3 linked regions of the Pelodiscus sinensis genome follow. The protein of the gene in region 2 interacts with the protein of the main gene of each other region in a pairwise test. Links are inferred from orthologs where the notes say so. Each region holds a gene or a part of one and is shown on either strand. Other genes may lie near its edges.

Region 1 (7,149 bases), on a different chromosome or scaffold from region 2:
TCTCAATGCTCCTTGACCCCCCTCCCTCCCCTCCGCTGAGATGGCAGCTGATGGCACAGTGGGAAGGAGCTGACCTGGCCAGACTTTTTGTGCCTTTAGCCCCCATTTGTCTCGGTTCCCTGTTAGCATGGTAGTACCTCACGGGGGGGAGGGGGATCGTGACAGCTCAGACACTGTGGCGATGTGTCCACATGAATACCTGGTGAGGTACGAGCTGCCACCCTCAGAACCACTTTGGAGAGGGACCTGGAGGGTTGAGGTTGGGATGCGGAGAGTCCCTGGCATGGAGGAGACGGGTTAGGAACAGAGAGATGCTGGGATCCATGTGGGTTTGGAACAGGCAGGCCATGGCTTTCACCCCTGATGGGGCTTGCAGGGGGCTCATGGTCTCCTTCCTCCCCACAGTACTTCAACGTGGGTCACCGGTCCCAGATCACTGGGGTCTGGCACTCCCTGGGCACGCTGTACACGACCTCCACCGACAAGAGCCTGCGGGTAAGATCCAGGCTTGCCTAGCGGCCCTTCTCCACCACTCATGGGAGCCAGGAATGCCTGAGTCCTAACCCCAGCCTTGGGACGCTGGCTACAAGTTACATCCCTGCTCTGTGCCTCAGTTTCCCCACCAGGGGGTAGGGGCAGTGGCCCCTCTCGTTTTTCCATCTGTGTGCAGAATAAATGTTACAAATGCAGAGGCACATGCCGATGTGCACCACCCAAAAAGCCACAGGCTGCCAGCTGTGGGCGCTCTGCTCACCAGCTGGGTGTCACCTGGGCAGCTGTCCCAGGGCTCAGCTTCCAGGGGACACGGGAAGGGGTGATACCTGCTTCCTGCAGGGCTCTGAAGGTGTCTTGGGCCCTTGGTAGCCGGCCCTTGTCCTGGGGTAGCTGCACCAATGCAAACCCCCTAGTGCTGACACCAAAGTACCAGTGCCCCCCCCAAAACAGCACACGGAGAGGCTCCTCTGAGACTCACTAAGCTCTGTGCAACCTCCCCACAAGTCGTCTCTTTCCAGATACACGTTCCCACGGACCCGCCTCGCACTGTCTGCACACGGACACACAACAACGTGCTGAACGGGGTAAGGCAGCCCCGGGCCTCGGAATCGGGGAGGACAAGAGTGTCTGGGCATTGAGCGCCCAGCCACCTTGCGTGCTGTGCTCTAGCCGGGGGGAATCCCCGTCCCTGCACTCTCCCCAAGCCACACCTGGCTGACACGTCCCGTCCTGGCTTCCTTCCTGTGGCCTGGGCCCACGGCCACTCAGCTCCGCCCGGGGGAGCGCTCCCTTCTCCTTGCACACACGGGAGGGCCCCGCAGCCATGCTGAGCACTAGGACACCTTGTGGCTAAACTCGGAGCGGGGGCAGGGTGTACGTAGCAGGAACCCTGGAGCCGGCGCCCCGGGATCCTGGATTGACGTGGCCTCAGTCCCCGGTGCCTGTTCACACCCCCTCTCCCCCTTCCCCCCAGATCAGCGCGGAAGGCAACATTGTGGTAGCTGCTTCCGGGGGCCTGTCCTTGGAAATCTGGAGGCTCAACGCCTGATGGAGGCCTGGATCTGCGGAGCCGTGTGTTGCCGGGGGAGGTGCTGCGCCCGGCGCCCGACTGCCGGCCGGGGGGCCAGAGTTCCGGCGCCCGTTCGTCGGTCATTTGTTCCTTGTTCTTTGGAAGAGGCCCGAGGAGCCGCGAGGTCGAAGTTTCGCTGCCTGAGCTCACCCTGGCCTTGCTGTTCCCAGAGGGGTGGGAGCCCGGCCAGCCTTCCCCCGCCAGGTGCACTGCCTTAGCTCTCTGGCTCACGTTCTTCCCCTCCTGCTCTGGGCTTCTTAGCTGGCTGAACCCTGGCCTGATTCCCAGGCAGCCTTTGCTACTGATCTACCTGCCACGGTGCATGGGCCCTGGCTGCTCCTTCGGGACCTGTTCCAAAGGCCTCTGGGGTCACAGTGCAGGTGGGGCTGGGAGTGAGGGGTCAGTCCGCTGGACGGCGCCGTCGGGGGGCGCTTGCTGCTAAGGGCTGAGGAAGGCAGAGGCAGGGGCTGATCGACTGGCTGTGTAACCTAACGGGACTAAGTTTGACCCACGTGCTTATGTTGTTGATTAAAATATTCTGCCAGACTGGAGCCGAGTAGAGCGCTTGGTGGGTTCGTTATCCCCTTCCCGGTGCAGTCACAGGCACGCCGTGTTGGAAATTCCATCCTGGTCTCCTGGGAGCTCCAGACACGGCGGCTTTCTCCTCTCCCTGCCTCCCCACAGGAATTGCAAGAGCCAGAGTGAAGCACTGGGGGAATGGGCTATGGAGGCTTTATTGGGGGGTGGGGCTGGGCTGTGAACAGGGCCGTGAGCGTTTCACTGACGCCAGTGAGAGGGTCCCTGCGCCACCCGGGGCCGTTTGGACAAACACAGTGTGAGGTTTCGGGTTCTGGCCCAATCCCTGAGGCCCTTCCTGCCTGTGCACAACGAGCTGGCTGGGGCAGGCCCCTTCCCCAGCAGAACCGGCTGCTGTGGCTAACTGGGGTCCCTGCAGTGCGGGGCTGTATGTCTGTCTGCCCTCGCATTGTAGTAACCCTCTGCTTCCCAGCACCCCTCCTGGGAAATATGGGTGGGGAAACTGAGGCACGGGGGCACTGCAGCGACTGTTCCAGGCTGCCACTGACTCCCTGTGCAGACGTGGGCATCCTCCTTCCACCCGAGGGGGGGTTGAGAACAGAATGGGTAACTGAGGCTTCACTTCTGCCCTTCGTGCTCTTCTCCCATGAGGGTTTGCCAGCTGCCAGCCTGGCCCAGCACTGAAGTTCCCTGCAGTCCCTGAGGGATGGTTTCTTTGGGACCCAGAACAATCCCAGGCTGGCCCTTTGCTGTGGACACATGGCCTGGTTCCTTCCCCCCACCCTTGCATATGCCTGGAGCTGATGAAGGATTGCCGTACAGGGGGAGATCCTGGCCTGACCCCTGTCCTAGTGCCTGCCTTGGAGACCTGGGGGGGGTGGTCAAAAGGCAGGTGAGCAAAGTCAGAGGGTGGGCTGGGGAACAGGGACTAGTGGTTGGAGCAAGGGGTGGGAGCCAGGACTTCTGGGGTCCCCTCTCTGGGAAGGAAGTGGGGACTAGTGGTTAGAGCAAGGGAGGCCTTCCTAGAGATGGGTCCAGAACATAGGGGTCCTGCTTCCTAACGCCTGTCCTGGAAGGGGGAAGTAGGGTCTAGTGGCTAGAGCAGGGGCATTCTGGGAATTTGGGACTCCTGGATTCTCCTCCTGTCTTGGGGAGGCCCTGGAGTGTGAGTGCTTGCTGCTCACGTCCTTGCTCTGCCCCCTACTCTCCACTGTCCTTCCAGAGCTGTCAGCAGGGTGCCCCATCCTGGAATGGAGGAAGGGGTCAGGCACCTACTGCCTCCCTATTGCAGAGCTGACTTCACAGCTGTCCCAGGCAGTATCTGTTTTTCTGCTGGGCCCCCTGCCGGGCCCAGTCACCTGTGAAAGGAACATGCCGGCCCGATTTAGCTTCCACCTCCTGGGCAATTAGTGCTCCCTGCAGGACGGCTCCCTCTAATCCGTCCTGTGAACGGGCTGGAGGCCAGAACAGGCTGAACTCTGTGTGCGCCCTGGGCTGCTGCAGGGCTGGAACCCCCCCTCCACCCGCATGGACCAGCTGCCCTGGGCGGGGGTCTCGGGGATGGGACTCCCCACGGGAGCAGCAGCTGCACCTTTTCAGGCCTGTGTGATGCTGGGGAGCAGGGGGAGGTGGGGAGATCTGAGGTGGGCAGCCAGGACGCCGGTCTCGCCCCCATGGGCTGTAGGTTGGGTGAAGAGGGGGCCCTGCCAGTCCCGCACCAGCGGAACTCCCCGCTGCAGGACGACGCGGGGGAAGGCGGGTGGTCTCTATAGCGTTAACCGACGTGCTTTCGCTTATCGGTTAATCGATTCCGGATCCATCCCCGCCCGGGGTCCAGTGCGGGGCTGGCTCGGCTCGGACAGGCTGGTGTTTGAAGGGGCCTGGCGTAGGTGCTGGGCTCTTGGGTCGGAGGACACTTGACCCTGCAGGGCTCCCGTACGTGGCTTCTATTCAAGATGGCGACGCCCACGCATACGGTTCCCGCGCGGCGGCGCTCGAGGGGCAACATGGCGGCGCCCAGGCGTACGGACGCGGTCCTGACCCCGCGGGGCTGCCGTAGCCGGCCGGGCTGAACATGGCGGCGGCCAGGAGCGCGACAGCGGGGCGAGAAGGGCTCTGAGGCGCAGGTAGGAGCCGGGCGGGGCCTGGAGGGAGGGAGCGAGCGAGCGAGCGGGCGGGCGGGCGGGCGGGTTTTGTGGGGGCGGAGGGTTCCGTGGGGGGGTTCGTGTGGAGTTTGGGGGGGCTCGCTGGGGGGGGTTTCGTGGGGAGGTTCGCGGAGGGGGTTGGGGGGGTTCGTGGGGAGTTTGGGGGGGCTCGGGGGGGTTTCGTGGTGAGGTTGGGGGGGCTCGCGGGGGGGGGTTGGGGGGGTTCTCGGGGGGGGTCGTGGGGAGGTTGGTGGGGCTCGCGGGGGGAGGGGTGGCTGGGGGGGTTTCGTGGGGAGGTTCGCGGAGGGGGCTGGGGGGGGTTCGTGGGGGGGCTGACCCCGGCCCGTCTCCGCAGGCCCCATGGAGAGCGCGGCTGAGGGGTTCCCCGCCGCGGCGGTGGCGGCCGTGCTGAAGCCCAGCGCCGTCCTGCCCGAGGAGAGCCTGCGGGTGCGGGGCTACGACTTCGGGCGCGGGCTGGATCACCGGGCGCTGCTCCAGTCCTACCTCACCACCGGCTTCCAGGCCACCAGCTTCGGGCAGGCGGTGCAGGAGATCAACAGGATGGTGAGCGGGGGGGCGCGGGGGCGCCAGGACTCCGGGGCTCCGTGTCGCTCGCCGCAGGCAGGTCACTTCCCCGCTGCGAGGCCAGAGACCTGGGTGGGGGCCGGTGGCCTGGGCGTCTGCGCTCCCCGACCCAGCAGCCGGGCAGGCCCGTCTCTGCCAATACGCAGAACACCCAGCTGAGTGGGGCACCAAATTGCACGGTGCCCATGCAGCTGGGTGCTGCATATGGGCTGTAGCAGCCCCCTCCCCTGGCTGGCCAGCCCCCTAGCCCGTGGCTCTGTGGCAGCTCGGGTCCCATTCCCCAGCCAGGCCCCTGTAGGGTGGGTAGCCAACAGCTGGAGAGAAGCGGCTGTGTGGCTGTTCTTTGCTCCCCGGGCCCATGCCCCTGCGTCTCCCCCACCCTGCCTAGGGCTGCCAGCTCTCCCAACCAGACTCATTTGCAGCAGTGACGTTCGGTCTGGGAGAACTGGCAGCCCTCCCCCTGCCCCCACAGTCCCCTCAGTGCAGGGCTGTGTAGGGCATCAGCATGGATAGGGATGGCCCTGCTGATGTGGGGCTGCTCTGGTTCCCAGATCGCGGCGAAGCTGGAGCCTCTGGGGGAGGAGGAGGAGACCCGTGCAGACCTGAACCCCTGCCGCCGGCAGCCCTCAGGCTGCACCATCTTCCTGGGCTTCACTTCCAATCTCATCAGCTCCGGCATCCGCGAGACCATCCGCTACCTGGTGCAGCACAACATGGTAAGGCCCCTGCCCCCTCCAGGTGCTGAGCCCTGCTCCCGTGTCCCTCTGTGCCCTCTTGACACTAAGCACCTGCATCCAGAGGTGCCCCCGTATGTGTCAGGCTCTGCCACCCAGGCTGCTGTCATGGCCCCCCCATTCCCTTCACCCACCACAGAGCTGGGCTCTCCCACCTGATGAACAGTGGGAGGGCTCCCTGGGGTGGGGTTCTGACAGGCTGGGGTCCCTGTGCCATGCAGGTGGACGTGTTGGTCACGACAGCGGGTGGCGTGGAAGAAGATCTCATCAAATGCCTGGCTCCGACCTACGTGGGGGAGTTCAGCCTGCAAGGGAAGGAGCTTCGGGAGAGCGGGATCAACAGGTACAGGCGGGGCTGGGGTAACAGCTGGGAGGCAGGACTCCTGATTTGGGGGAGAATAGTGGCTAGTGGTTAGAGTCACGGGGGACTAGGAGTCAGGCCTTGTCAGTGCTTTAGGAGGAGAGTGCAGTCTAGTGGTTAGAGCAGGGGAGCCAGGACTCTCCTGGGTTCTGTCCCTGCTCTGGGAGTGGGGCCCAGGAATGAGAGGGGGAGGCTGGGCTCAGGAAATGATGCTCTAGAAGTGAAAGACGCTGTATTTGTTCTCAGCCCCTGGATCCATCCAGCCATGATCCTCTTTGTGCCCCCCCCCCCTGGGGATCAGGAAATGCCAGTGGTGTCCCTGTTCCTTGGGGTGGGAGGAGGGGCTGAGCCCAGCTGGGCTGGGGGGGGGGAGGGCTGGGGATGAACCTGCTCCTGTCTCCAGGATCGGGAACCTGCTGGTGCCCAACGACAACTACTGCAAGTTCGAAGACTGGCTTATGCCCATCCTGGACCAGATGGTCGCCGAGCAGAACATGGAGGTGAGGGCGGGGGGGGGAGGGGCTGCGGCTGTAGGACACTGGGAAGGTCTCTGACCTGATCCCTACTCAACCCCCTGCCAAAATACCTGGCATGTGCAGATGGGTGGAGGAAGGGGGCTGGGAGTCAGGGCTCCTGGGCTCTGGGAATGGAGTGTAGGGGAGGGGGGGTGTCCAGTGGGTTGAGCAGAAGGTGGGTGGGTGGGACACCAGGAATCAGGACTCTTGGGTCTTATACCTTGGGTGAGGCACATCCCTCTGTGACTCGGTTTCCCCATCTGCACCATAATGGGGAGAGCTGCCAGGTGGGGAGCTGTGAGGGTGGGCACCTTAACGTTGATAACGCCCCGCGGGCCCCAAGTCTCTGAGCTGGGGGGCAGGGCAGGGCTCGGGTCACTGCAGGGGGGCGCTTTCACTGCAGCTTTGGCCCTTGGGCCCTGCAGGGGGTGAAGTGGACCCCGTCCAAGATGATCGCACGGCTGGGCAAGGAAATGAACAACCCCGAATCGGTCTATTACTGGGCACAGAAGGTCAGTGGAGGGGGGTGGTCCTGTGCTTCAAGGGCGCTTCTGTTCATTCCCCCCAGGGTCCGGGCTAACCATGCCCAGGGTACAGCCTGGCTTAGCTGAACCCCCCCCCCCCCCCCGAGTGCCCCTCTAAAAGAGCCTGGCTGATGGGCTGCTTGGAGCGCTGCCCCTTTAAGAGCAGGCTAGATACTGGCACAGAA
Region 2 (7,953 bases):
ACAGATCTGCAGCGGGGAGGAAGGTTAGCTGAGCTGCCCGCCCCCCTGGAGCCCAGGGAACGCAGCAGTGGAGGCAGAGACACAGGGAGGTGTGAAGGGGGATCGGTGGGGGTGGGGCGCAGTGCGGGGGTGTGCGTGCAGCAGGGCTGAGGGCTGGTTGGGGACGGGGTGGGGTGTGACCGAGGGCTGGATGGGGTCAGAGGCATGGTCATGACTGAGGGCTGGTTGGGGGTGTGCAGCCGGGGGCGGGGCCTATGGCTGGTTGGGGGTGGGACACGCCACCAGGGGCGGGGTGGGAGCTGAGAGGGGCGGGGCCGAGGGCGGGCCCACCTTGAGGTCGCACGTGGTGTTTGATGAGCAGGTTGCTGGGCTTGAGGTCGCGGTGCAGCACGTTGGACTGGCCGGGGGCGGGGCGGAGGGGGCAGGGCCGAGGGGCGGGGCTGGGGCGGGCCCACCTTGAGGTCGCACGTGGTGTTGATGAGCAGGTTGCTGGGCTTGAGGTCACGGTGCAGCACGTTGGACTGGCTGGGGGCGGGGCGGAGGGGGCGGGGCCGGGGCGGGGCGGGCGGGGGCCACCTTGAGGTCGCACGTGGTGTTGATGAGCAGGTTGCTGGGCTTGAGGTCGCGGTGCAGCACGTTGGACTGGCCGGGGGCGGGGAGGGGCGGGGCGGAGGGGGCGGGGCGGGCCCACCTTGAGGTCGCACGGTGGTGTTGATGAGCAGGTTGCTGGGCTTGAGGTCGCGGTGCAGCACGTTGGACTGGCCGGGGGCGGGGCGGAGGGGGCAGGGCCGAGGGGCGGGGCCGGGGCGGGCCCACCTTGAGGTCGCACGTGGTGTTGATGAGCAGGTTGCTGGGCTTGAGGTCACGGTGCAGCACGTTGGACTGGCCGGGGGGCGGGGCGGAGGGGGCGGGGCCGAGGGGCGGGGCCGGGGCGGGGCCACCTTGAGGTCGCACGTGGTGTTGATGAGCAGGTTGCTGGGCTTGAGGTCACGGTGCAGCACGTTGGACTGGCCGGGGGCGGGGCGGGGCCGAGGGGGCGGGGCCGAGGCGGGCCCACCTTGAGGTCGCACGTGGTGTTGATGAGCAGGTTGCTGGGCTTGAGGTCGCGGTGCAGCACGTTGGACTGGCCGGGGGCGGGGGCCGAGGGGCGGGGGCGGGGCCGAGGGGCGGGGCGGGCCCACCTTGAGGTCGCACGTGGTGTTGATGAGCAGGTTGCTGGGCTTGAGGTCGCGGTGCAGCACGTTGGACTGGCCGGGGGCGGGGCGGAGGGGGCGGGGCCGAGGGGCGGGGGCGGGGGCGGGGCGGGCCCACCTTGAGGTCGCACGTGGTGTTGATGAGCAGGTTGCTGGGCTTGAGGTCGCGGTGCAGCACGTTGGACTGGCCGGGGGCGGGGCGGAGGGGGCAGGGCCGAGGGGCGGGGCCGGGGCGGGCCCACCTTGAGGTCGCACGTGGTGTTGATGAGCAGGTTGCTGGGCTTGAGGTCACGGTGCAGCACGTTGGACTGGCCGGGGGCGGGGCGGAGGGGGCGGGGCCGAGGGGCGGGGCCGGGGCGGGCCCACCTTGAGGTCGCACGTGGTGTTGATGAGCAGGTTGCTGGGCTTGAGGTCGCGGTGCAGCACGTTGGACTGGCCGGGGGCGGGGCGGGGGCGGGGCGGGGGCGGGGCCGAGGGGCGGGGCGGGCCCACCTTGAGGTCGCACGTGGTGTTGATGAGCAGGTTGCTGGGCTTGAGGTCGCGGTGCAGCACGTTGGACTGGCCGGGGGCGGGGCCGAGGGGCGGGGCCGGGGCGGGCCCACCTTGAGGTCGCACGTGGTGTTGATGAGCAGGTTGCTGGGCTTGAGGTCGCGGTGCAGCACGTTGGACTGGCCGGGGGCGGGGAGGGGCGGGGCGGAGGGGCGGGGCCGAGGGGCGGGGCGGGCCCACCTTGAGGTCGCACGTGGTGTTGATGAGCAGGTTGCTGGGCTTGAGGTCGCGGTGCAGCACGTTGGACTGGCCGGGGGCGGGGCCGAGGGGGCGGGGGCGGGGGCGGGGCGGGCCCACCTTGAGGTCGCACGTGGTGTTGATGAGCAGGTTGCTGGGCTTGAGGTCGCGGTGCAGCACGTTGGACTGGCCGGGGGCGGGGCGGGGCCGAGGGGGCGGGGGCGGGGCGGGGCCGAGGGGGCGGGGCGGGCCCACCTTGAGGTCGCACGTGGTGTTGATGAGCAGGTTGCTGGGCTTGAGGTCGCGGTGCAGCACGTTGGCCGAGTGGATGTACTTGAGGCCGCGCAGGATCTGGTACAGGAAGTAGCAGATGTGGTCGTTGCTCAGCTGCTGCGTCTTCAGCAGCTTGTACAGGTCGGTCTCCATCAGGTCCTGCACGATGTAGCTGGGGGCGGGGTCAAGGGGCACAACGGCCGCGGGGCGGGGCGCGCGCGGGGGGCGGGGCGCGCGGGCGCGCGCAGGGGCCGGCGCGGGCGCGCGCAGGGGCGGGGCAGGATACACGTCGCGCATGTGCTCGATGGCGGCGGCGCGCAGCACGTCGTTGATGCCGATGATGTTCTCGTGGCGGAAGCGCAGCAGGATCTTGATCTCGCGCAGCGTGCGCTGGCAGTACGTCTGGTGCTCGAACGGGCTGATCTTCTTGATGGCCGCGCGCGCCTTGCTCACGTGGTCGTAGGCGGAGCTGCGGGGACGGGAGGGGCGGGGTTAGCGCCGCGCCCCGCAGCCCCGGGGGGGGGGGCCCGGGCGGCGGGGGGGCGCTCACCAGACCATGCCGTACGCCCCCTCCCCGATGTACTGCAGGTCCGTGTAGCGCGGCCCCACGTCGAACACCTGCCCCTTCACCGACTCCACCCCCAGCTTGGGCGCCCCCGGCACCGGCCCGGGCCCCCCCGGGGCCGCCGCTGTCGCCGCCGCCATGGCCGCTGCGCTCCGATCCCGCTGCCGCAGCCGCACCCGGAACCGCCCCGCCCGACGGCTCTGCGCAGGCGCACGGGCTGCCCGACGGCCCGCGTCACGTCGCCGCCATCCGCTACGCGCCCGGATTGGAGCGCTGCTTCTGACGTCATCGAAAGGCGGAAGTGCTGTGCCCTGTCATTCGCTTCTGCCGCTTTAGGCCCCGCCCCCAGACCCAGTCTACGGTACTAGGCCACGCCCTCGCTCGAGGAGCTCCTCTCCGACCACGCCCACTGTTCCACCTGGCCACGCCCCTGCCCACGCCGGCACCTTGCCGGGTGTTCCCCGGCCCCCCCCCCCAGCCTCAGGGCCCCCCGGGTCTGATTCCCCGGCCCCTCCCCCCCCCCCCAGCCTCAGGGCCCCCCGGGTCTGATTCCCCGGCCCCTCCCCCCCCCCAGCCTCAGGGCCCCCCGGGTCTGATTCCCCGGCCCCTCCCCCCCCCCAGCCTCAGGCCCCCCGGGTCTGATTCCCCGGCCCCTCCCCCCCCCGCAGCCTCAGGGCCCCCCGGGTCTGATTCCCCGGCCCCTCCCCCCCCCCCAGCCTCAGGGCCCCCCGGGTCTGATTCCCCGGCCCCTCCCCCCCCAGCCTCAAGGCCCCCCGGGTCTGATTCCCCGGCCCCTCCCCCCCCCCCAGCCTCAGGGCCCCCGGGTCTGATTCCCCGGCCCCCCCCCCAGCCTCAGGGCCCCCCGGGTCTGATTCCCCGGCCCCTCCCCCCCCCAGCCTCAGGGCCCCCCGGGTTTGATTCCCCGGCCCCTCCCCCCCCAGCCTCAAGGCCCCCCGGGTCTGATTCCCCGGCCCCTCCCCCCCCCCCAGCCTCAGGGCCCCCCGGGTCTGATTTCCCAACACCCCCCAGCCTCAGCCCCGGGGCTGGTGGGGGGTAGTTAGGGGTCCCAAGCAGGGCATGGGGGACAGGTGGGGGGGTGCAAGGGGATGCTGGTGAGGGGTAGTTAGGGGTCCCAGGCAGGGCATGGGGGACAGGTGGGGGGGTGGAAGGGGATGCTGGTGAGGGGTAGTTAGGGGTCCGAGGCAGGGCATGGGGGACAGGTGGGGGGGTGGAAGGGGATGCTGGTGAGGGGTAGTTAGGGGTCCGAGGCAGGGCATGGGGGACAGGTGGGGGGGTGGAAGGGGATGCTGGTGACGGGTAGTTAGGGGTCCCAGGCAGGGCATGGGGGACAGGTGGGGGGGTGGAAGGGGATGCTGGTGAGGGGTAGTTAGGGGTCCGAGGCAGGGCATGGGGGACAGGTGGGGGGGTGGAAGGGGATGCTGGTGAGGGGTAGTTAGGGGTCCCAGGCAGGGCATGGGGGACAGATGGGGGGGTGCAAGGGAATGCTGGTGAGGGGTAGTTAGGGGTCCCAGGCAGGGCATGGGGGACAGGTGGGGGGGTGGAAGGGGATGCTGGTGAGGGGGAGTTAGGGGTCCCAGGCAGGGCATGGGGGACAGGTGGGGGGGGTGCAAGGGAATGCTGGTGAGGGGTAGTTAGGGGTCCCAGGCAGGGCATGGGGCACAGGTGGGGGGGTGGAAGGGGATGCTGGTGAGGGGTAGTTAGGGGTCCCAGGCAGGGCATGGGGGACAGGTGGGGGGGTGGAAGGGGATGCTGGTGGGGGGTAGTTAGGGGTCCCAGGCAGGGCATGGGGGACAGGTGGGGGGGTGGAAGGGGATGCTGGTGAGGGGTAGTTAGGGGTCCCAGGCAGGGCATGGGGGACTGGTGGGGGGGTGGAAGGGGATGCTGGTGGGGGGTAGTTAGGGGTCCCAGGCAGGGCATGGGGGACTGGTGGGGGGGTGGAAGGGGATGCTGGTGGGGGGTAGTTAGGGGTCCCAGGCAGGGCATGGGGGACAGGTGGGGGGGTGGAAGGGGATGCTGGTGGGGGGTAGTTAGGGGTCCCAGGCAGGGCATGGGGGACTGGTGGGGGGTAGTTAGGGGTCCCAGGCAGGGCATGGGGGACTGGTGGGGGGGTGGAAGGGGATGCTGGTGGGGGGTAGTTAGGGGTCCCAGGCAGGGCATGGGGGACTGGTGGGGGGGTAAGGGGATGCTGGGGGGACACGTGGGGGTGTAAGGGGGTGGAGGTGGGAGGGTGTATCTAGGTGAGCCGAGACAGGGCATGGGGAGATGGGTGTGTGTAAGGGGATGCAGGTGGGGGGGAGCTAAATGGGCCCAAGCAGGGCACGGGGGGACAGGCGGGGGGTGGGGTCCCTGTGCCCAGGCTCATACCCCTCTGCCACTGGCAGCGGATTCCCGCCCAGCCCCTGGCTGGGAAGTGGGAGGGAGTGTCCTGGCCCCTCCCCCCCCAGGCTGTGCTATCCCTGGGAGGCCCCACCCCCACCCTTAAAAGGTGCTGGTTTCAGCCTCCAGATTCACTGTCACACCAGAGTGCCTGGAACTGGTGAGAGCAGAGGCAGTGGGGTCTGATGGTTAGAGCGGGGGGGGGGGGGGGAGCCAGGACTCCTGGGTTCTTGCCCTGGGCAGGGCAGTGGGATCTGATGGTTAGAGCGGGGCGGGGGGGAGCCAGGACTCCTGGGTTCTGGCCCTGGGCAGGGCAGTGGGATCTGATGGTTAGAGCGGGGCGGGGGGGAGCCAGGACTCCTGGGTTCTGGCCCTGGGCAGGGCAGTGGGGTCTGATGGTTAGAGCGGGGGGGGGGAGGGGGAAGCCAGGCTCCTGGGTTCTTGCTCTGGCCGGTGGGTGGGAGGGAGGGAGGTCCTGGGCCCTCTCGGCTGACCCTTCCCGTCTCTGCAGAGTGATGCTGCTACACCCAGTTACCTACAGGTAGAGCCAGGGCAGCAGCCAGGCAGAGGGTGGTGGGGCAGGAGCAAGGGATAGCGGCAGGGTGGGAGAGAGGGGCAATGGCCGGGCTGGAGTGAGGGGCAGCGACGGGGTGGCAGGGCAGCTGGGCTGGAGTGAGGGGCAGAGTGGTGGCGGGGCTGGAGTGAGGGGCAGCGGCCGGGCAGGGGGATGGGGGGGGTGGGAGCGAGGGGCGGCGGCCGGGCAGGGGGCGGCGGGCGCGAGGGGCGGTGGCCGGGCAGGGGGCGGCGGCCGGGCAGGCGGCGGCGGCGGGCGCGAGGGGCGGCGGCCGGGCAGGCGACGGCGGGCGCGAGGGGCGGCGGCCGGGCAGGGGGCGGCGGCCGGGCAGGCGACGGCGGGGCGCGAGGGGCGGCGGCCGGGCAGGGGGCGGCGGCGGGCGCGAGGGGCGGCGGCCGGGCAGGCGGCGGCGGGCGCGAGGGGCGGCGGCCGGGCAGGCGGCGGCGGGCGCGAGGGGCGGCGGCCGGGCAGGCGGCGGCGGGCGCGAGGGCAGCACTAACGGCGCGTCTCCCCCAGCCGCCATGAGCCGGCAGGTGGTGCGCAGCAGCAAGTTCCGCCACGTCTTCGGGCAGCCGGCGAAGGCCGACCAGTCCTACGACGACGTGCGCGTCTCGCAGACCACCTGGGACAGCGGCTTCTGCACCGTCAACCCCAAGTTCCTGGCCATTGTCGTGGAGGCCAGTGGGGGAGGGGCCTTCATGGTGCTGCCCCTGGCTAAGGTAACCCCGCCCCCATCCCTGCTAGTGACCCCCTCCCCCCTCTGCCGGCCCAGCCCTGCCGGGGCCCCTCGCCAGCCCCGCCCTGCGCTTCTTAGGTAACTGTCTGCCCCCCCCTTTCTGTTTCCGGGGGGGGGGGGGGGGGCTGTTTTGTGAAACCGCCGAACATGCAGATCTTGACATTTTTGCCTTAAATGGCTCCAAACGTGAAGCGGGGGCGGAAGCAGCCGTGTAAAAGGGGAAGTGGGTTTGCGGGGAGGGGGCAGGTCTGGGACACCACAGCCCAGCCCCCCGTCCTGGTTCTCGGAGCCGTGGCAGCCACACCTGGGTCACCGTAGCCAGGAGCCCCAGAAATGGAGCAGGGGCGGGGGCGCCGGGGGAATAAAGGTCTGTGGTGCAGCTACAAAGGGCCCTGTGTCCTTCCCTGGCCCGGGGGGAGGCCGGGGCAGGATGCGGCTTTGGAGGGACCCTCGGCTCCCAGAACGCGGCACCTTGTGACTTCCATCGTGATGGGAAAGACGGGAGCAGAGCGCCTCAGCCCCTCCCCCTCCGTCCCACTCCCCACACCCGCCCCCCAGCCCCTGCCGGTCCAGCTCTGCCCCCAGCGCCCCCCACTGCAGCCCCTGCCCCCCCAGTGCCCCCCAGTGCCCCCTTTGCACAATGCCCGGGTAAGGTTGTCATGGGACTGCTGGGTTCGTGGGCCCAACTTTCCCCGTGGCAGGACCATGGGACGAGGCGGGAGGGGCGTGAGGGGAGAGCCAGGCCTGAGGCTGGTGCCCAGGAGGGCTGAGGCAGGCCCGGCCCCCGCCCTGCTGCCAGACTGCCCTGCTCTCAGGTTGGCTGCCCACTGGGGGGAGGGGCTCATGTCGCCTGCTGTGGGCACTGCAGGGGCACGGGAGCTGGGTTGCTTGTCACAGCCTGGCCCTGCCCCAGGCCCCAGGCCCCTGGCCCCTGGGAAATATCCCCAGCACTGGGGAGAGGCAGAGAGCTGCGGGTTCTACTCCCTACAAACATTTACCCCCCTCCGAGCTGGGAGAGAACCTAGGCTGCCCGCTAACCCCTGCGCCCCACTGCCCTCCCGGCCCTGCTGTAACCCCTGCGCCCCACTGCCCTCCCGGCCCTGCTGTAACCGCTGCACCCCACTGCCCTCCCGGCCCTGCTGTAACCGCTGCGCCCCACTGCCCTCCCGGCCCTGCTGTAACCACTGCACCCCACTGCCCTCCCGGCCCTGCTGTAACCGCTGCACCCCACTGCCCTCCCGGCCCTGCTGTAACCGCTGCGCCCCACTGCCCTCCCGGCCCTGCTGTAACCACTGCACCCCACTGCCCTCCCGGCCCTGCTGTAACCGCTGCACCCCACTGCCCTCCCGGCCCTGCTGTAACCGCTGCACCCCACTGCCCTCCCGGCCCTGCTGTAACCACTGCACCCCACTGCCCTCCCGGCCCTGCTGTAACCACTGCACCCCACTGCCCTCCCGGCCCTGCTGTAACCGCTGCACCCCACTGCCCT
Region 3 (6,947 bases), on a different chromosome or scaffold from region 2:
TCACATAACATTTTGCATCCTGCAGACAATGGAAATGTGAATGGAAAGGACTTGAATGACTTCATTCAGGCACAAAACTAGCATATTCCTCCTCATTGTTGACACTGTGCAACACTGCTCTTTGTTGTTAAAGTTTTTAACAAATTCTTACATCTACAAACCAGCTTTGGGATTTACTTAGAAAGTGCGAAAAGACACAGTCACATTGTGTTGCATCTCTATAAGCCCTTTGTTACCGGTCAACAAAGTCTTTAAATGCCCTGCCGAACGGGAATTTTGCCAAACAGCAAACCAGCTACTTGGCCTTATTAAGGGCACCTCCTACTGGTCCTTTCATAGAGTGAATTATGCTTTCTTCACTATCAGTCCCCTGCTAGGTTTCTGAAGAGAGAAAATAGCGACTAAGGAGAGTAGTGGAAACCCAGAGATTAATGAGCAGGGGCCAAAGACACTCGAACAACATTTCCTTAAAGATGCAAGATCTATTTTACTTTGTCAGTGAATCCAGATTGTGAAAGGGGGGCTTAAAACAACCACCTCAAGAAGGATCTATAGGCTAATCACAGGGGAAACTTTGCACAATTCTAGCTTGCAAAGATCAGATCAGGGAACTTGATAAGACACACAAATATATGCCTCCAAAGTATTAGACACATTATAAATAAAGAGTGAAATGCACAACCCAAATGTACAGCTAGGAAACAATTTGCTCCTGTAATGAGTTCTCTGTGTATAATCAGACAACATCATAATCCCACACCACACACACACACACACAAACACACATCATTGAGGCAGTGTGTATCCTCACTCTCCTCCTCTCTCTCTTGCACACATACATACACACACACGGTTGCACACAGGACCCAAATTGCCATATGTCAGCAAAGAGGTCTGCAAGCCAATCATCGTGCCAAAAGGAGGATCACTGAGATGTCTCCCATCTACTATCCTTTAAGTTGGAAATTCAAGAGAGACACCTATTATCCTGCTCTGATTTCCCAAGTCCCACCTTCCATGCAAGTAATTGCAAAGGACATGTATGGGACACACGCACACACACACACAATATGAATCTTCTTGTATTTAGCAGAAAAGCCTTCCCAATTCACTTATTCCCAACCCAAAAAAATCCAAAAATATATATTTGAAAGGAAGCATCATCTATATGAACAATTTAAGGTATTTCTATTTGAATGCAGCTTATATTCTGAATGATACCAGTCTAAGGTAAAGATCTTTTCCCAAAGGCTTTGATATGCAGCACTTTATCACACACACACACACACACACACACACACACACACACACACACACACACACACTCCTGCTTTAGTGGCGTGTGTCTGTGTGTAGGGGGTGGGGGGACCTATCGGTTTCTATTGTTCAGCAGCAGCTGGTGTAGAAGCAATGTGTGTATGTTTATTTTTATTTATTTTTGTTTTCCATGAGTCTCTCTTACTAAGATTTCTCCTAATGAAACACAGCTCGTTTTCTTCTGGAGGAAAAAAAATGATCACTGGAGAATAATATTTTCTCACATGCATTGTACTCTCTCTCACACACACACCCTACAGAGTCACCTACAAATCAAAGCTTCACTTGCTTAGTTTCTAACACTTCTCAATAATACTCCAATTTCCTGATTATATTTTTACAAAATCTCTCTTAATTCCCAGGTCTTCCCTGCCTCTACCACAGGCAGCTCCTGAGCATCACAATATCAATCCCCCCTCTTTCCTTCTGTATCCTAATTCAATACACACACCAGCTTTGCCATTTTTAATCAGAAAATGTGCCTGCCAAGTGCAAAGAGAGCGAGGCAGCCCGAAAGAATATCAATCAAATGGAGTTTGGAGACACTCTGCAAATAACTGCATTTTCCATCTTGCAAACTAATATTTCTCTTTTCATTATTTGCCCGTCCCCTACCATCTGAAAAAATATAAATAAAACTATATATCCCATCTCAGCCTAAAGATAAAAAAAAAAGCTACATGAAAATAAATCCAGTTGAAACAGTGGTCAGGTGCAAAGAGAATACAAACCAGTGTGTACATACACACACACACACACATGCTATCAGCACCTCCTCCCACATTTTTCCTTTATTTTGTGGGGGGTTCTTTCCTTTCAGTTAGTTTTCCTATTTCACAGGCAGCTCAGGGTGCCTCTAAACCAAATTTGATCTCACTCCTTTTCAAATCTACATCAAGTGCCTGCAAATGCCTACACTGATCCACAACAACAACAAAATCAAAAGGAAGGGAAATTCTGATAACACAGACGAGAGAAGCACATTTCTTAGGGTTTGCAAAACTCACCCTTATTCAGGGAGTGCAAAAGACAAATAAGACAGTGATGACTTACCGGTGACTTGAAGATTCAGGCTGATCAGAGAAAACCCGAAGAGTAGAACAGCCAGCTTTGGTACCCAAGCACATCCAAGACTATTCTCCATATTTCAACACACACCTACAGAGATTTGGGTCCTGAGCACCAGCAACAATCACACACACAGCCCCTTTCTGCCGCCTCCTCTTCTGTTTTTTTTTTTTCCTCTAGTCCCCACCGGCAAGGCTCAGCAAAAGGGGGAGTTAGGGGATGCGGAAGGGGAAAAGTTATATTCAGTCCAAGTGCCACCAAACCTCCAGATGATGTTAGGAGAAACTAACTCAAGGAAAAAGGGGGAAAGGTGGGGAACAGTGTTCCCACGGCTGGAAAACCATATATTGAAAAAATACTGCAAAAAAGCAAACCAGAGTGCATCAAAAGATTGGGGGTTGCTCCATTTCCACTGCTGGACAAAGTACAAAATATAGATATGGTCATAAAAATAAAAACAATCAGAAGAATACAAAAGGGGAAAGCTTGTTATTTTCCTCCTTCTTGGCAGATGTTGGTGGGGAGGGAAAGAAGAAGGGGAAAGAAAAGGGGCATGTAACGCTCTCACTTGTTACTGGAGCTGTCCACCAGCAATATGTGAGATGGGAGTTAGAGCTGTAACATCCATTGATCCGAAGAAGTGGAGGGCTGGAAGGGAAAACGTGGAGAGCGGAGAGAAACCAACGGGATCACGGAAAAGATTCCACTGGAAAAAAAAAAAAAAAAAAAAAGCCCTGAGCCCTGCTGCTTCCAGCAGCTGCATGCACTGAATCTACAATATGAATGAGCTGGGATGCCCTCTGTAGGTAGAGCGTGGGAAATAACTTTTCCTCAATGAATCTTTTAAATACAGTGCATGTCCCTGCTTCTGTAGCTAGCTCACCTCCTATCATTGTAAAGCTCCCCAGTTGTGGTTTGCATCGGGTGTTTTGGTTTGTTTCTTCTGTCCTGGGAGTCTGCTCTACAGTGAAAGCTGCTTTTTAAGCTGATCAGCTTTAATTTTTGCATCTCACCACCCTGCCAACTCCAAGAATTCAAAAATCAGGAGTCAGATACCAATCATTATAAGCTAGTCTTTAAAATCATGGGATTTTTTTTAAATGAGTTATTTTCATTTATCTTCTGAAGTTTGAATCTTTAGGGACCAATTTTCCATGTTTTCCTCAACTATCTTGAGGGCAAGAAATTTACTTTTTAAAATGAATGCTGAGACTTCCACAGAACATGACTATGGGAGCTTTATGATAAATACCAAATATTAGGAAGCTTACGATAAACTCATGAGATGGCAACACTGGTCTTATCCTCGTCATATTCTTTTTATTTTGCAATACTCATCCTGTTGTAGGATGTATTAAATGTCCAGTTTTCTCACACTAGTCCACAGCATCTTTAGGCTGCCTTGTTCTTCTTGCTTTTATTTGGCATCCAGCAGAGCAGTGCACTGCCATACTTCATCATCATCATCGGTGGGGATTACAGTTTTGTCCTTCGATACAGTAAGAAAAAAAGGTCACAAAAGTTGCGATAAAGCATGTAGACACTTCTGACTCATAAGGACTCTTACAATAATCAGGATTAAAAACTTACCCTAACTGTAAGGTCAATTGTAAAAAAGTGAATAAAAGTTTACAAAATGCTCCAATCGCATATAATAATAAATGCTGATGGGAAAAGGTGCAAAAAATTTTTTAAAAATCTAGGACCTCTGGACAAGGCAGGGGGATCTGGGATTCTAGAAGGGGTAGGGCCAAGGACGGCCAGCCCTCAGAGCCTCCCGGAGTGTACCACGCCAGTCCCAGGCAACCCTTAGCACTGCCAGGAGCATGGTGTGCACCCCCACAGCCCTTAGTGCTATCCAAAGGATGTAGCACGGTGCTTCGGCAGCAATTTAGAGGATCTGGGACTCTGCCCACTACCACTGCTACTGTGTCAGAAACAGCGTTCAGAGCCCCAAACCCCCTTAAATCACCAGGCTCTGGAGCAACTGCCCCATTCCCCACCCCCCTGTCAGCAAGCCTAGGAGCAGGTCTATACTACTGCTTAAGTAGATCTAATATATGCTGCTCAGGGATGTAATGCAAGTTTCCCTCAAGTGATGCAAGTTTTGTGCTATTCACACCAATGCTGCATCAGTGGGAAACACTCTCGATGAGGTGGAGTCACTAGTCCACGGTACAATGCACCTTCACCAGAAATGCTATAACAGCACAGCTGCATCAGTGCATCTGCGCTGATGTAGCGGTGTAAGGCTTGCCCTAAATGAGTCCAAAACAGAAAGGCCCTCTAATGCAACCCAACAACTGTGCTAAAACCATGCTTGGTAACCAAAAAAAAAAAAATTAAAAAGTGTGACCAAAATGTACGTGTCAGAAATGTGGCCTAGTTGGTGGATTTACCAGTGAGCTAGTGTGCCACAAAAAGAAATTTTAGGGAGCCAAGAGGCATTAGCTGATTGAAAGAAAGGGAAACATGACTGCCACCTCCACTGTTTCCTTGGGATCCACCATGACACTGCTCTACCTTCAATATCTTGATTCTGAGAGATGTTCTGACCAGACCAGGGCAGAGAGGAGGACCCAGTGTCTGTGGCTAAATGGCAAATACCTTCTGGCATGTGTAACCGGCATCCCTCTATCACGTGTCCTTTACATTCTCCACCTTGTTTTATCTGTTTCTTTTCCCTGTTCCTCTCCTCTTAACTTCTGTCTTATAGAAGTCTAACTGGCCAAAGTATTCATGGGATAGCCAAGTTAGTCTGTTAGAGAAAAAAACAACAAATGGTCTGGTAGCACTTTATAGACTAACAAAACATGTAGATGGGATCATGAGCTTTCATGGGCACAGCCCACTTCTTCAGAGAACTCCAGTCATCTGAAGAAGTGGGCTGTGCCCACGAAAGCTCATGATCCCATCTACATGTTTTGTTAGTCTATAAAGTGCTACCAGACCATTTGTTGGGGTTTTTTTGGCCAAAGTATATTTTGCAACGCTGCCGTAAGCCTGTGAACATGGAGAGAACTAAAAGCAACATCTTAAACAAGCACATGCTGGACCAAGTTTGCCAAGTCTTGGAATAACTAGACCATGTCTTGTGCCTGTATTTTTCTAGCAGCAAGGTTGTAAGTAAGAGTTGACATAAAAAACAGAAGTGCCTTTTCTCCCTCTATTTTTTCTACCTTCTTTTGTGTTTGTCTTGTTTTGTCTTCTAGGAAATGGGATCAGACTTTAACAACAACAGCAACAACTCCAACCCATCTTGTCTCTTATCCCCAAAAAGGACAGTTACAACAACATGGCAAAGCAAATGAACTAGCTATATGAAGACATGTGCTTATCAGTGGGGGAGCCTGGATCCCTACTATTACTAGCAGTCTAGTTCAGCTGGTAGCACTGGACTATAGGGACTTGTGTTGAAGACCCACACCAGAATGGGATATATCCATTAATTAAAATTACAATGAACAAAGCTGCAGGGAGGTGTTGTCCTTCAATCTGACATTCGCACATCCCTTTCTGGTGGCTGTTCGTTGAATAGGAGAGCACTTCCTGAGAAGAATAGAGAGCAACCCTCATGTCTTACAAAGTCTTTGCCTGAGTGAAATTCTCATAGGACTCCCAAGTCCCATAGATGAAGGCAGGAACTTCAGATACAACCTTAAAAATCTTTGCTGCAAAATTCTGTCAGTGATGGCTTGTCTGGGTTAGACTTTTCTATCAGCTTTTTCATGAGCTGGGGCTAGTACAGTTTCAGACCTTAATGTTTCTCTTTGTTTGAACAGTTTGTTGATAGGGTGAAATGTAATAACTAACCAGTCTTTAAAAAAAAATGCAGCAATCTATTCCATGATTACTTAGCCCAGGCCAGGACAATAGTAGACCATGCCTGGTGACACCGTGTAGCCCAGAACACAGTCCTCAGTCTCCAAGAGGGGGAGTGTAGGAGCCACAGGATTTGTGGGTGTACAATATGCTCAAAAAGGAATCCACTCAGTGTGTGTTACATCAGAGTTCTGTCTTTTCTCTGTCACAAGCACGACTACTAAAATATATACTCTATGCATCAGTATTGGGGAGAGCCTGGATCTGGAAGACTTCCCATATAATCAATGTATTAAACATTTTATCATGAATTCAAAAATAATATAAAACAGTGGCATTCACCAAAAATTACATCTTAACTTGCTTATGTCCCATTCTGCACTGGAACCTCTCCCATCCAACTTCCACTTTCCATTCCATGAAACCAAGCCAAGTCAAAGCACCTTTCTGTTCTTTCTCCTTTCTCTGTCTGATGCCTTTGACACTGCTGATCATTGAATTCCTTCTTGGTCTTTTCTCTTGGCTTGCATGACCCTATTCTTGCTTGGATCCCTCCCTACCCAACCACCTTATGGACTGAACTGTGTGATAATTTTTCTCTCCCTTTACCTGCTGACATCCTTCAAAACTCCTTCCTTTTCTTCCCTCCTCTCCTCCCACTTTCTTGGGGACTTCTCCCATTCCCATTACTTTAATGCACTCTTTCTGTGGATGATTCACAAATTTACCTCTTTCCCCAT

Evidence for each region.
Region 1: the proteins of MAPK3 (region 2) and DHPS interact in binary tests that used the Homo sapiens proteins (3 or more experiments, as listed by UniProt). The link is inferred for Pelodiscus sinensis from reciprocal best matches to the Homo sapiens genes MAPK3 and DHPS.
Region 3: the proteins of MAPK3 (region 2) and DCC interact in a two-hybrid assay, tested with the Homo sapiens proteins (2 studies listed by BioGRID). The link is inferred for Pelodiscus sinensis from reciprocal best matches to the Homo sapiens genes MAPK3 and DCC.

Annotation. Positions count from the first base shown.
Region 1 is NC_134729.1:13,363,990-13,371,138, forward strand, and holds the start of DHPS (deoxyhypusine synthase), read left to right. Parts: upstream 1-4,070; 5' UTR 4,071-4,227; intron 4,228-4,600; 5' UTR 4,601-4,605; coding exon 4,606-4,809; intron 4,810-5,381; coding exon 5,382-5,546; intron 5,547-5,785; coding exon 5,786-5,907; intron 5,908-6,328; coding exon 6,329-6,425; intron 6,426-6,865; coding exon 6,866-6,952; intron 6,953-7,149. Other genes in the region: FBXW9 (F-box/WD repeat-containing protein 9), read left to right, coding at 406-495, 1,014-1,079, 1,469-1,543. UniProt on the Homo sapiens protein: Catalyzes the NAD-dependent oxidative cleavage of spermidine and the subsequent transfer of the butylamine moiety of spermidine to the epsilon-amino group of a critical lysine residue of the eIF-5A precursor protein to form the intermediate deoxyhypusine residue.
Region 2 is NW_027465967.1:94,768-102,720, forward strand, and holds the start of MAPK3 (mitogen-activated protein kinase 3), read right to left. Parts: upstream 3,005-7,953; 5' UTR 2,898-3,004; coding exon 2,743-2,897; intron 2,662-2,742; coding exon 2,479-2,661; intron 2,365-2,478; coding exon 2,175-2,364; intron 7-2,174; coding exon 1-6. Other genes in the region: CORO1A (coronin-1A), read left to right, coding at 6,250-6,447.
Region 3 is NC_134716.1:114,103,985-114,110,931, forward strand, and holds the start of DCC (netrin receptor DCC), read right to left. Parts: upstream 3,082-6,947; 5' UTR 2,462-3,081; coding exon 2,371-2,461; intron 1-2,370. UniProt on the Homo sapiens protein: Receptor for netrin required for axon guidance. Mediates axon attraction of neuronal growth cones in the developing nervous system upon ligand binding. Its association with UNC5 proteins may trigger signaling for axon repulsion.